Rattus norvegicus: one gene and its partner. The protein of the gene in region 2 purifies or fractionates together with the protein of the main gene of each other region. This does not show direct contact. Links are inferred from orthologs where the notes say so. Each region holds a gene or a part of one and is shown on either strand. Other genes may lie near its edges.

What was found. Proteins that work in one complex are often made in the same cells at the same time.
Region 1: the proteins of Rbbp6 (region 2) and Srpk2 purify together in Homo sapiens (affinity purification with mass spectrometry; 4 studies listed by BioGRID and IntAct, with this or other methods). This does not show direct contact. The link is inferred for Rattus norvegicus from reciprocal best matches to the Homo sapiens genes RBBP6 and SRPK2.

The regions. Positions count from the first base shown.
Region 1 is NC_086022.1:12,522,734-12,529,224, forward strand, and holds part of Srpk2 (SRSF protein kinase 2), read left to right. Parts: intron 1-1,806; coding exon 1,807-1,972; intron 1,973-3,060; coding exon 3,061-3,086; intron 3,087-4,290; coding exon 4,291-4,537; intron 4,538-5,425; coding exon 5,426-5,893; intron 5,894-6,491. UniProt on the Homo sapiens protein: Serine/arginine-rich protein-specific kinase which specifically phosphorylates its substrates at serine residues located in regions rich in arginine/serine dipeptides, known as RS domains and is involved in the phosphorylation of SR splicing factors and the regulation of splicing.
Region 2 is NC_086019.1:186,954,112-186,960,602, forward strand, and holds part of Rbbp6 (E3 ubiquitin-protein ligase RBBP6), read left to right. Parts: intron 1-230; coding exon 231-334; intron 335-459; coding exon 460-797; intron 798-2,396; coding exon 2,397-2,493; intron 2,494-2,622; coding exon 2,623-2,701; intron 2,702-2,793; coding exon 2,794-2,848; intron 2,849-5,256; coding exon 5,257-5,325; intron 5,326-6,491. UniProt on the Homo sapiens protein: E3 ubiquitin-protein ligase which promotes ubiquitination of YBX1, leading to its degradation by the proteasome.

The sequences.
Region 1 (6,491 bases), on a different chromosome or scaffold from region 2:
TGCAGCCCCGTGGAGTCAGGAAGCAGCTGAGGAGGCCCTGGTCTGCTCCTCTAACTCCTCAGTGCTGTCGTCTCCGTTGAGCAGGGATTGTTCTTAAGCTTGCAGTGTTGTAGAGAAACTAAGGCTATTTTTACTTAAATAAAAATTTTCCTTTCCTGAAGCATTGAAAATAAACATAAGGTAGAAGGTTTGCTTGAACTTACAAGTTCAAGACTAGTCTGGGCAGCACAGTGAGGCCCTGTCTCAAAAATAAGCAAAAATAAAAAGAAACACAAACCCGGAAAGCGCCAAACCCAGCAGAAATGAAGCACAGCTTTGTGCCCAGGAGAGCAGAGACAACTTAAGAAGACCATAGTTTCGGATGAGATGAAGGGATTAGAACTCTTACACACAGCTTGTACTGTAGGTTGGTAGGCTGGCTCTGCTGTCGCGGTAAACGGTAGAGCCTGTCGTTAGGCTGACCGTAGTTGCCATGTAGCTCAGCACTGATCTCCTCAGTATGTCACCACGAAGAGCCACAGGAAAATGTGCACGTGGATGTGTATGGAGGTGTTACCTCCAATCGTCAGGGAGCAGAAACGGTTGAGATTCCCATTGAGCAAATAAATAAAGAAAATGCCATTTGCAGGCTGGGGCCCAGTGGTCAAGAGCGCTGGCTACTCTTACAGAGAACCTGAGTTTGTTTCCCAGCACCCACGTGGTAGCTTATGACCATTTTAACTTGGGTCATATATGTGGTGCCACATTCATACATGCAGACAAAACACACACATACTAAATAAGAAGGAGTAATCCTTAAAGAGTGCCATGTGTCTGCAGAGGGGACATTGTTCAGCAATACAGGAAGTGACTAGCTGGTGTGTGCTACCCAGCATGTGCCTCCGTCATGATGCCAGGTAGAAAAGAGCACTTGGGACGAGGGTGGCCTTTATAGGGTTCTGGGACTCGGAACTCGGGCCCTTAGATCTAAAAGGCCTGGTGTGCTGGTGTGTGTCTGAAATCCCAGCACTGGTGAGGAAGAGACAGGGCTTCTTGAGGCTTACTGGGCAGCCATTCTAACCAAATTGGTGAGTTCCAGGTTCAGTAAGAAAAACCAGTATTTTTCAATTTAAAAAAAGTGGGTAGGGGGATGGGGAGCCTTTAAGGAATCCATCTACTGTTGATTTCTGGGTCACTCACAGGCTCATGAGTGCATGGACATTGGACATGTTTACCCGAGCACAGAGACCTCTTTACATGAGTCAGGCACATAGCCTTGTGGTTAGGACTGTCAGAGGTGGAGGGAGAGGGGAAGCCACTACTCATGTCTGTGGGATTTCTTTATGGACTGACGCAGATGTTCTGAATTAGGTAGTATCATATTAATAAACGCGATAATGTAGATTTGAAATTTTAAAAGATGCATTCGCTTTTATTTTCTATGTATGAATGTCTGCCTTTGTGGGGTCTGTACACTGTGTACCTTGTGCCCACAGAGGTGACACTGTGTACTGGGCACTGTGTACTGTGACACCGGTATACTGGAACTGGGCTTGGAGACAGTGGTAAGATACATGTGACCCTAAGGCCTCTGGCAAAGCTCTGAAGCCCTGGACTTATTGCATATAAAATTCTTATCAAGGGCATTATGTCTGCGAGCATAACTGAATTCTGAAGTGATGACATTGGTTGCCTGTGAGGAAACTCCATTTTTAGAGTAAATGTCTCTAAAGTGTATTCCAGCTGCATATGGAGGCATTGCATGGCTTAGGCTTAGTAAGTCATGGACTGAAGCACTAGGGGTCCTGTTTGCTTTACCGTGACCAGGTCCTTCAGGGCTTAGACTATCTACACAGCAAGTGCAAGATAATCCACACTGATATCAAGCCGGAGAACATCCTGATGTGTGTGGACGGCGCGTACGTGCGGAGAATGGCGGCCGAGGCTACGGAGTGGCAGAAAGCAGGTGCTCCTCCTCCTTCTGGGTCTGCAGGTGAGGGGCTGAGCCCTCATTGCTCTGTCTGCTTGGGGCTGTGAGCTTCTAAAGCTCTTTAGTGAAGGCCGTGTGTCTGACGTGCACATACGCATTAGGAACTTTTTCTAAGAGTTTAGATGTTGAAGATGCTTTTGCTTAAGATGAGGTTTGAGTTCATTCTTTTAACTCTTTGTCTTCTGTTACCTTTGCTCGTTCTCAAAGGCTTCATCACGTAGGTGCACGCTCCCGTGTGGTCCAAGTTTCTATGGAGAGTATACGACCAGTTTCTTGTAGCCGACCTGCAGACTTCTGATTTTTTTTTTTCCTGATTTGGGTTTTATAACAAATGTTTTCTTTCCTTAACTACTATACCTGCTTCCATCTCAGTTTAGCCAATAGTTTGGTGTTGGCTGTGGAAGCTCCAGGGTGGGGAGCTAGAAAGGGAAGCAGGGACATGAGCACTAGCGTCGTTTCTCTTGGGAAGTTGAGAGGCTTCATTGGGGAGATTGGGATGGAGATTGGAGTGGGTGTGCTTCCCTCTGGCTGACTGACAGGGCTCCAGAAAGAAGCGCTGCCGCCTCATCACGAGCACCATGGTGATGTCATCACCTCACCTCACGCAGCCCGTTTATGAAGCTTCTGATGCTGCCAGGCCGAGTTCTGGAGCCACTGCACAGTGTGCTGCACTGTGTGCCCTAGTTCACGTGTGTGGTGCTTTCCGTGTAGTCTTCAGACATGGCTGTGCACCTTCTTCGCTAGCTAGCATGTCCATTGCCTCATATGCAAAACATGTTCCGTTATGTGACTGGCTTGTAAGCTCTTCCATTTCTTTTTCTTTTCCTCTGTAATTATTTTGTCAGTGCTTTGAGAGAGGCTGTTTGCAAGAAAAGTGCTTCACGTGCACAGCGTCTCCTGCGGCCTGGAGCTGCGCAGTCTGTTTGAATTGCATAAGCTTTTGCCAGGTTCCTATCTTTAGCAATCTCTGAGGTGAAAGTTGTTCAAAGTTGGGTAGTTATTAAAAGGCAGTATTATCTCAGTTTGCAAATCAAATTACCCAACAGTGCCTGTCTTCCTCTGATCATCCGTTTTGTTTTATTTTGTTTTAGTGAGTACGGCTCCACAGCAGAAACCTGTAAGTATTTACGTGTGATCAGCATGTCAGGAGGGACCGTATTTACGTGTGGCCAGCATGTCAGGAGGGACTGTTTGTTCCTGAGCTGCACAAACTGTGTAGCAAATGTCATAGTCTTCACTAATTTAGAGGCGCATGTTTGTAAATGCTCTGTCATTATATAGGGCATGACTTCCTGCTGTGGACGGGAACAGTCAAAGCCAGTCTCCCCCTGGGCTCTCTTGGCTGCTGTTGGCTGAGTTCGGTGAATTGCAAGGCTTTAGTTCAAATTTAAAATCTAATTGTTCCAGAATCTTTTTTAAATGACTTCTGCCTGGCCTCCAAGTATCCTGTTTTGCCAAAAAACATTTTAATTTTTTATAGCTAGCTGTTTAAGTGAGAAGGATCATTATCTGTTCTGTGATCCTGTCAAATCAAGACAGTTCCAAGTCTGAATTGTTACGGGGGAGTCCAAATCACTTTTAAAAAAATTATTTATGTATGTGAGTACACTGTCTTCTCTCTTCAGACACACCAGAAGAGGGCATCAGATCCCATTACAGATGGTTGTGAGTCACCATGTGGTTGCTGGGAATTGAACTCAGGACCTCTGAAAGAACAGGCAGTGCTCTTAACCACTGAGCCATCTCTCCAGCCCCCAGATCATGTTCATAGCTCTCCCCTGAGCCTTAGGTTTGGGTTTATGGGTCTGAGAAACTTTGCAGACCCTCCTAGCCAGGGCTTTCCAAGACTTATGGCTGTAGCTTGAGGCACAGAAAACCGTGGCTTTTCCTTTTTTCCCTTCTTTCTATCGTCTACTGATTTCTGAAAGTCCATGGTGTTCACAGCTTGGTGTCAGAGCCACATGCAGACACAGTGCTGTTGGCACTGGTCTGGGCAGGTGCTTGTTTTTGTCGTTAAGGATTCTGGATACAGCCAGCAGCAAGGAAAGCTTGCAAGAGAAGATTCTTGCTCACAGCCAGGTATTTCACGGAGCTCAGCTCTCCTACTTTCCTCATAGAAGTTAGGGGAGACTAACCGTGTGAGCACAGTCCTCCCCTGAGGTGGCTCTCGTGGCTGGGTTAGTGAGGAAAGCTGAGTGTGTCCTGGAAAAGCAGTTACTGTGTTACCAACATTTCAACTCGTAAGGAGTGTTTTAAAGAGTGCTTTTCTGATCCAAGGTGTCATACTCCCGCCTGACACATACTCTCTTACCATGTTGTAGATAGGAAAAATATCTAAAAACAAAAAGAAAAAGCTAAAAAAGAAACAGAAGAGGCAGGCTGAGTTGCTGGAGAAGCGCCTGCAGGAGATTGAGGAATTGGAGAGAGAAGCCGAAAGGAAAATCCTAGAAGAGAACACCACCTCTGCAGAAGCTTCCAGTGAGCAAGATGGAGAATGCCAGCCTGAGGTGAAACTGAAAGAGGCCGAGTTAGAGGACACAACTGAGGAAGAGACAGCAAAGGACAATGGTTAGTCCAACTCAGAGCAGGAGGGAGGGCTGGTCGCGTGCGGGAGCTTCACACGGGGTCATTTCTGAGAGCGTCTGAGAGTATCTGAGCTGCCACCTCAGTCACTAAGGACGGCTTTCTCTACCTCTCCTTGGGGATGATGGGGGCAGCATAGTTCATTTGTGAAACTCTGCTAAGCGCATGTTACGTCACAAAGCAGGGGTGTGAGAAGGGGCGGAGGATGTCTGAGAAGCACCCTAGTGTTAATGATGACCCTTTCCTTATTCTGTAATTAGGCCTTTGCCTAACTTTAATGCAGCATAGATCTTCTTTTTTTTTTTTTTTTTTTCTCTCTTTTTTCTTTTTTTCGGAGCTGGGGAGCACAGATCTTCTAAGGCGACAGAAGAGAGGGTTAATGGCTGGAGAATGGATCAGTAGTGCAGAGGAGCTTGGCTCCCAGTTCCTCCAGTGTCATGGTGCTCACAGCCTCTTGTAACTGTAGCTGTGAGGGCTCATGAATGTGTTCACACACAGTTGAAAAGTGAGCACCTTAAAGATCAGGTACAGTAAGCTTCTTTGAAAAAGAAGGGACTAAAGTGAAAATCCAGCTTTACTTGTAATTTCCCCAGAGCTAACCTGTCCCTGGCTAGAGGACTCATTACTGAATAAACAGAAACAAGATTTAGAATGCCGCCTTGCCTTGACAAGCAAAAGGCGTGTTCTGGGATCTGTCTGAGTTGCCTCCTAGCCGGGTGTGGTGGTGCATGCTCAGGATCAAGGAGCCCAGAGCTCGGGATGCAGAGGCAGAGGCAGGCGGATCTGAGTTAAAGAAGAGGCTCTCCTGTGTGAGGCCTATAGTGCTACTGTGCATGGAGAGTCGACTCCAGTCTTAACCCCATCTTCTTTAAGGTGAAGTTGAAGACCAGGAAGAGAAAGAAGACACAGAGAAGGAAAACACTGAGAAGGATGAAGATGATGTTGAACAGGAACTTGAGAACATAGACCCTACGTGGATGGAGTCCCCTAAGGCCAACGGCCATATTGAAAATGGCCTGTTTTTACTGGAGCAGCAGCTGGAGGATGAAGAGGATGAGGAAGATGACTGTGCAAACCCCGAGGAGTATAACCTGGATGAACCAAATGCGGAGAGTGATTATACGTATAGCAGCTCCTATGAACAATTCAATGGTGAATTGCCAAACGGACAGCCTAAGAGTCCAGAGTTTCCCACACCGCTGTTTTCTGGGCCCTTAGAACCTGTGGCCTCTGACTCTGTGCTGTCAGAGGGATCACCACTCACCGAGCCAGAGGAAAGCAGTCCATCCCGTGACAGAAGCAGGACAGTTTCAGCCTCCAGTACTGGAGACTTGCCAAAAAGTAAGTGCCATTTTGCATCTCTGTCTGCTGGCTCTGGGTAGGGTTACACCTGTGACGTACTGTGAAGGGAGTTGACTAGGCGAGAGCCACGAGGTCCTATCCCTGGCCTTTCTTCATTTACTGCATATTATTAAATGACATCAGATAGGTAAAATGGCCTTCCACCATTACCAACCTCACAGCTTTCTAGATACACCCTCTTGCAGCTGAGAGCAGTCGTTTTTGGGTTTTCAAGGGATCCCTGGCTGTTTTCATCCATACTGAGACGCCTTGTGTTTTATTTGATAGTTGCCCTTGTTTATACAACCATGCTTTCTTTCTGTTTGTTTTGTTTTGTTGTTGGTTTGGTTAGTTTTTGTTTGTTTTTTTGAGACCTGTTTTCTCTGTGTAGCCCTGGCTGTTAATGGAACTCTCTCTGTAGACCAGATTGGCCTCAAACTCAGAGATCTGCCTGCCTCTGCCTCCTGAGTGCTGGTATTAAAGGTGTGCACCACCATTGCCTGGCTCTATAACTCTGCTTCTGAGAAAGCACAATAACAGATTATACATTGGTTCTACATTCTGGTCTCCATGCGGTCCTATCTTCAAACACATAGTT
Region 2 (6,491 bases):
GGGACTGGAGAGATGGCTCATCTATTAAGTGCTGGCCGATGTTTCAGCAGACCCAAGTTCAGTTCCAAGTACCACATAGTAGCTCACAATCATGTCGATAAAGTTACTTTTTTTGTTTGTTTGTTTTTGAGACAGTCTCATGGTTTAGGCCTGGGAGGTATCATTAATTCATTATGTCAACACCAAGTTGCTACTGTGCCAGTTCATGTTTAACATCTTATCATACATAGGTATAAGGACAGCACTCCTGGAGTCAGATGAGCATACATGTCCAACATGTCATCAAAATGATGTTTCTCCTGATGCTTTAATTGCCAACAAGTTTTTACGACAGGTAGCTTTTATACTGTTTTTTTTTTTTTACACAAAAAAATATCTTTAACATTTTTACCGATTGAACTCATTGAAATGAGTGATACGTTATTTATTCTGCATTTTTGTGTTTGATGTCTATAATAGGCTGTTAATAACTTCAAAAATGAAACTGGCTATACAAAAAGACTACGAAAACAGTTACCTCCACCCCCACCTCCAATATCAGCGCCAAGACCACTCATTCAGCGGAACCTGCAACCTCTGATGAGATCTCCCATATCAAGACAGCAGGATCCTCTGATGATTCCAGTGACATCTTCCTCAGCTCACTCAACTCCCTCTATATCTTCATTAACTTCAAATCCATCCTCCTTGGCTCCTTCCGTGCCTGGCAACCCATCTTCTGCCCCAGCTCCAGTGCCTGATATAACTGCAACAGTATCTATATCAGTCCACTCAGAAAAATCCGATGGGCCTTTTCGGTAAGTCTACTATATGTCTTATTATTGAAAACAAAAGGATTTTCCTTTGATAATAGTTATTATTTTTGAGGTACAGTCTCACTATGTAGACCCAATCTGGCCTCTAAATTCAGAGATTTACCTCCGCCTGCCTCCTTCCTGGTTGCTAAGTTAAAAGTCGTTTTTTTTTCTAATTTTATTATTTTTATATGTATGGGTGTTTTGTCTGCATTTATGTCTGCAGTCGCAAAGGCGGGTGTTGGAACCCTTAATTAGAACTGAGTTACAGATGATTGTGAGCTGTTATATGAGTGCTGGGAATAAAGCCTGGGTCCTAGGACAGCAAGTGATGCTCTTAACCTCTGATCTATCTCTCCAGCCCCTAAAGTATCACCTTCTTTAATGGACCCCTGTGCTTACTAAAATACAAAATTTTAGCCTAGCAGTGGCAGCATATGTGTTCAATCCCACGACTCAGGAAGAAAAGGCGGGAGGATTTCTGACTTCCAGAACAGCCAGGGCTTCACAGAAAAATCATATCTAGAAAGACCATAGGGAAGGGGGATGGGAAGAAAGAAAGAATAAGTTGTGGTGACCTCCTGAAAGCAACAGTGGATTTTGTGGTCCACTAACACATGCATTCTCTTAACAACTAGCCAGCTTTGGGGACTGGAAAGATGGCTCGGTAGTTAAGAGTATTGTCTGTTCTTCCAGAGGTTCTGAGTTCAATTTTCAGGCAACCACATGGTAGCTCACAACCATGTAGCCTGGGATCTGATGCCCTCTTCTGGCGTGCAGGTGTGCATGCAGATAGAGCAGTCATTTACATAAAAATCTAACAAAACACAGGTGTCAGGTTTTGTTTCATAGATACTGAAAGAAAATTTTAAAGGTGAAACCTTTACATATATAAAAATACCCACTGTTCGAGTTTAGCCTTTATTTAATCAGTAAAGGAAATAATACAAAGACTGCTCTTAGAGCAGTGATTGGTTCTTAACTTGTGGGTTGAAACTGACCTGAAACTGAAGGGAAGTTGACTGACCCTTCACAGGTTGCCTAAGACCACTGGAAAACACAGTTATTTGCATTATGATTCATAACAGAAGCAAAATTATACTTAGGAAGGATTAACAAATAATTTTATGTTTGGAGGTCACAACATGAGAAACTATATTAAAGAGTAGCAGTATTTTGAAGTTTTATATTTCTGCACTTATTTTTCTATCATATTATCGTATGTAGTATTTTTTTCAGGCAATTCCATCTTTTTTTAGTGTATATGCAGGAGTGTGGCAACCCCAGCTATGTGGGTAGAGATAGAGGACAACTATAGGGACTTGATTCTCTAGTGCCATCTTGTAGGGTTTTGAGGGTCAAGTTTCTGTTGTTAGGTCTCATGGAATGCCTCCTCCTAAAGCATCTCGCTGGCCCACCGCTTATGTTATGCACAGAGAGCTCTTTACCGGCCCAGGCCTTTGACTTTCCTCATATACAATCATTATCACTAACTCATATGCTGGGTATAGATATAATAGATAAGCAGTATTACTGATAGTTGTCATTTTACTCATCATCATCCACTATGGTGACGTTTTCTTATGTTACACTGTTTTCTAGGGATTCTGATAATAAACTATTACCAGCTGCCGCCCTTGCATCAGAACACTCAAAGGGAGCGTCCTCAATTGCTATTACTGCTCTTATGGAAGAAAAGGTAGACTGTACTGCCTTTATAATGGAGGGTTGTTTTTTTTTAACAATATACATTTTTTTTTTCATTTTTGCTTTGACTTTTTAAAACTTTAACTATTCTTGTTTTGTGTGTATGTGCTTATTCCTAAAGGGTTACCAGGTGCCAGTCCTTGGGACTCCATCTTTGTTGGGACAGTCATTATTGCATGGACAGTTAATACCCACAACTGGTGAGTAAAATTAATTTTGATTTGGATCTTTTTCCCTTTAGGAAATAAATAGCATTGAATTTCTTATTCATCATTTTTGTTTTGTTTATAAGGTCCAGTAAGAATAAATGCTGCTCGTCCAGGTGGTGGTCGACCAGGTTGGGAACAGTAAGTATATTCAAAATAACCTCAGATACTTGCCTTTGAACTAAAATGTGGCAACTTCATATCAGACAGGCTCTTGCTGAATGCTTTTTATTGTAAACCTCTTTAAATATGCCAAATTAGTACAGGGTTGTTTTTGTTTTTGTCTTTTAAGATTTATTTATTTTTATTTATATGAGTACACTGCAGCTGACTTCAGACGCACACCAGAAGAGGGAGGGCATCAGATTCCATTACAGATGGTTGTGACCCCCACTATGTGGTTGTTGGGATTTGAACTCAGGACCTCTGGAAGAGCAGTTAGTGCTCTTAACCACTGAGCCATCTCTCCAGTCCTAGTAGATAGTTTTTAGAACACAAATTCAGATTTATATGTTGAATTATTTTCTGAAAATAATGCTGTTTGAAAAGCTTGGTTGGAGACAAATTTATACAAGAGAAAATGTACACATAAGTCTGTGTATGGATGTGTGTTTGTATATATGGATGTGTGTATGGTGTGTGTTACTAGGAATTGAGTGCAGGGCTTCAGCACAGGGAATACCTAAGTTAGGAACATATTCTGCTCTGGAGCTTTGCTACCGCCCATCATTTTTGACTCCCCAGTGTATTGACTGACCTTCCCCTAGTAACATAGTTGGTTCTATATGGTGAAAGTATCTGATAGCCAGTTGAGCAAAGGCAAGCTGCATATAGAGAGCAGCAGCAGTCTTAGGTGCGTGCTGTGTAGCCTTTCCCAACAGAAGCCACCTTCAGAGTCACAGTGGCACTGTGTGCATAATGATCAATCTTATCCAGTCTTGATCTGATGCTGCATCTTGACTTCTCTTGACCAGATGGTGCTGTGTATTGTCTATGGAGCTCAATAAATTTTAACTTTAGATGTTTTGTGGTTTCAAAAGAAACAATTAAATAGACTTTTAATCACACTTTATGTGTTCACAACACCATTTTCTTATTTCTTCCAGTACTTTTATGCGGTCTAAAAATATTTCAGATTGCTATCTGAAAAATCTCAAAAGTCCACAATAAATGGGCTCATGAACTTTAAACCCATTTCAGAGGTCACATTGCAATTCTTTTCCAAAACAATGAAATAACAAATTTTTAAGCTCTTTTCTGCATTTAGTACATTTGGATCTTGATTGGACCTCAAATTAGTAAATTGATCCCATATTTAAATTTTCTAGATTCTTCACTTTTTTTTTTTTTTTTTTTTCTTTTTTTCCGGAGCTGGGGACCGAACCCAGGGCCTTGCGCTCGCTAGGCAAGCGCTCTACCGCTGAGCTAAATCCCCAACCCGATTCTTCACTTTTTTAAACAGTTGAACTCTTTCTGTCTTAATTTGAATGATCAAAATTCAATTTAGTAAATAAAAACATTGTAAGATTAATGTCTACCACATTAATCTCATTTTTTTCTGACTTGTTAATAGTTATTAAAATCTATAGGATGTGACTTTGCTGATGCTTTATGGCATTAAAAATTATTAGATTTGGTCTGGAGAGATGACTAATTAATTAAGAGCATTTCATCTCCAAGAGGACCTGGATTTGGTTCCCAGCACCCACAACTGTCTTTATCTCAGCTCTAGGGTATCTAATGCCCTCTCCGAAACTCTGCAGCTACCATTTGCATGGACCTGGTACACAGACATACATGTAGGCAGAATGCTCATACACATAAATTCAAGTATTTTTTAAATTAATATTCTGATTTATTTCTATGAATTACATAGACATTTCTATGAAGCTTACATACTAAATTTTGTTTTCTTTTGTTTGAAAAGATAAACCAAATTTCTTGTAGAGAAAATAGACTGATGAGAGGCTAGTAGAACATATCATTAGAAAGCATATGCCCCTCAGAAGAAAAGGGAATTCTCTGAGGAGCCTGAGGCTGCTGCAAGCTGCACAAAGAGCCGCACAAAGAAAAAGAAAAAGTCGCAGAAGGCACAGGAGGAGGATTAGAACGGACCTGCTTGGTGGGAGGGGCATACTTTATGGTGGCAGTTCCTCCTGCCTATAATAAACCCCAATAAAAACACAAAACCAGAAAGAAAAAAAAAAAAAAAGAAAGCATGTGAAGTTTAGAGACAGGTGCACCTGTGTGTGGATGTAGGGACAGACACAGTGGAGTTGGCATCGTTACTGGGTACAGGACTGTGAGTGTATAGGTTCCTCTTCAACTTCTATTTTCTCATTGTTTGCACTCAAAAAGTATTCTACTTGAGCATGTGAGATACCTACATAGAGCCTTGCTAAACACTAAAATTATATAATTAAGTTTAAGATTAGGAAACTTCAAAGGAAGTTAAAATGCACTGACTGGTTATAATGTACTGTAATAATGATACGTTACACCTAAGAAAAATAAATACTCAGTTCTGTTTTGTTTTAAACCTTTCACAGTTCCAACAAACTTGGGTACCTGGTTTCCCCACCACAGCAAATTAGAAGAGGAGAAAGAAGCTGTTACAGGTAAGAATGCTAAAACTCTTAGAAAAGAACCCCATAGCACTGGGAAATATACAAAGAAAACTCTGGAGTGGTGAGGAAGGAGTGGTTATTTGCTCTCCTCCTTTCTCTTAATAAGTCTTTCCTAGTGATCCTTCAGAAATTTGGGAACTGGGAGTTACAGTTCAGTGGTTAGTTTCTTGCCTGGCCTGTATAAGGCCCTAGGTGTAATCCCTACCAGATGCAGAATAAAGTCTCATTTGAAGGTTTGTTTACAAAAACTCTTTATTGAGAAGTTTAGAGCACAACTATAATCCCAGGGTTTGGGAGGCTGAGGCAAGAAGATTGTTGAGTTAGAAGCTAGTTTGCATGACATAAAAAGACCAGGAAGGAGGGATGGAAATAGAAAAACATAGAAAAGTTACATCTTGGTATGTACGCTCCTGTGTATATGAGAATACATGCTTATAGAGGCCCAAGAAGGATGTCAGGTACCCTGCTCTGTGACTTCCTGCCTTACTCTTGGGAAAAAGTAGCTCACTAAAACTGGAGCTAGACTGGGAAACAGCAAGCCCTAGGATTTGGCCTGTCTCTGCCCCCACAACACAGGGGTTAAACATAGGAATACATGGCCACACCTGGCTTTTTATGTGGGTGCTGAGGGTTTGGGCTCTGCTCCCTGTACTTGTGCAAGCACCCTTACCTACTCACTGAGCCATCTCCTCAGAGTCCCTGAGACTCTGTTCTTTGAATTCCTTCCACTGATTTCTTGGTTTGTATTGGCACATGGCAGGATACAGCTTATGAAAGTTAGCTCAGTTTCCAGATGGGAAAAAACATTGTGTTTCTTTGTCTCAATTTTTCCTCACCTTCTCTTTTCCATAAGAAGAGACCAGGAGATTTGTTTAGGGCTCTTACTCTGACAATGTTAACTTAAGAATCCTAGGTTTTATATGGTGATAGTTATTTAAATCAGGATGCAGAAATTTCCAAGCTTGATAAAGGCTATGACTGATCTTCTAGTGGGCCACTCAGAATTGCCAATCTCATGGCAAATTGCATTGAGCAAAGGGATGTATACTGAATCATGGATATAGTTCTGAGCAGACAAGTCTGAACACCTGCCTTACATACCACCTGCTCAATTTGTTTAGCAAAAGCATTCAAATTCTTTGAGACAATTCAGACAC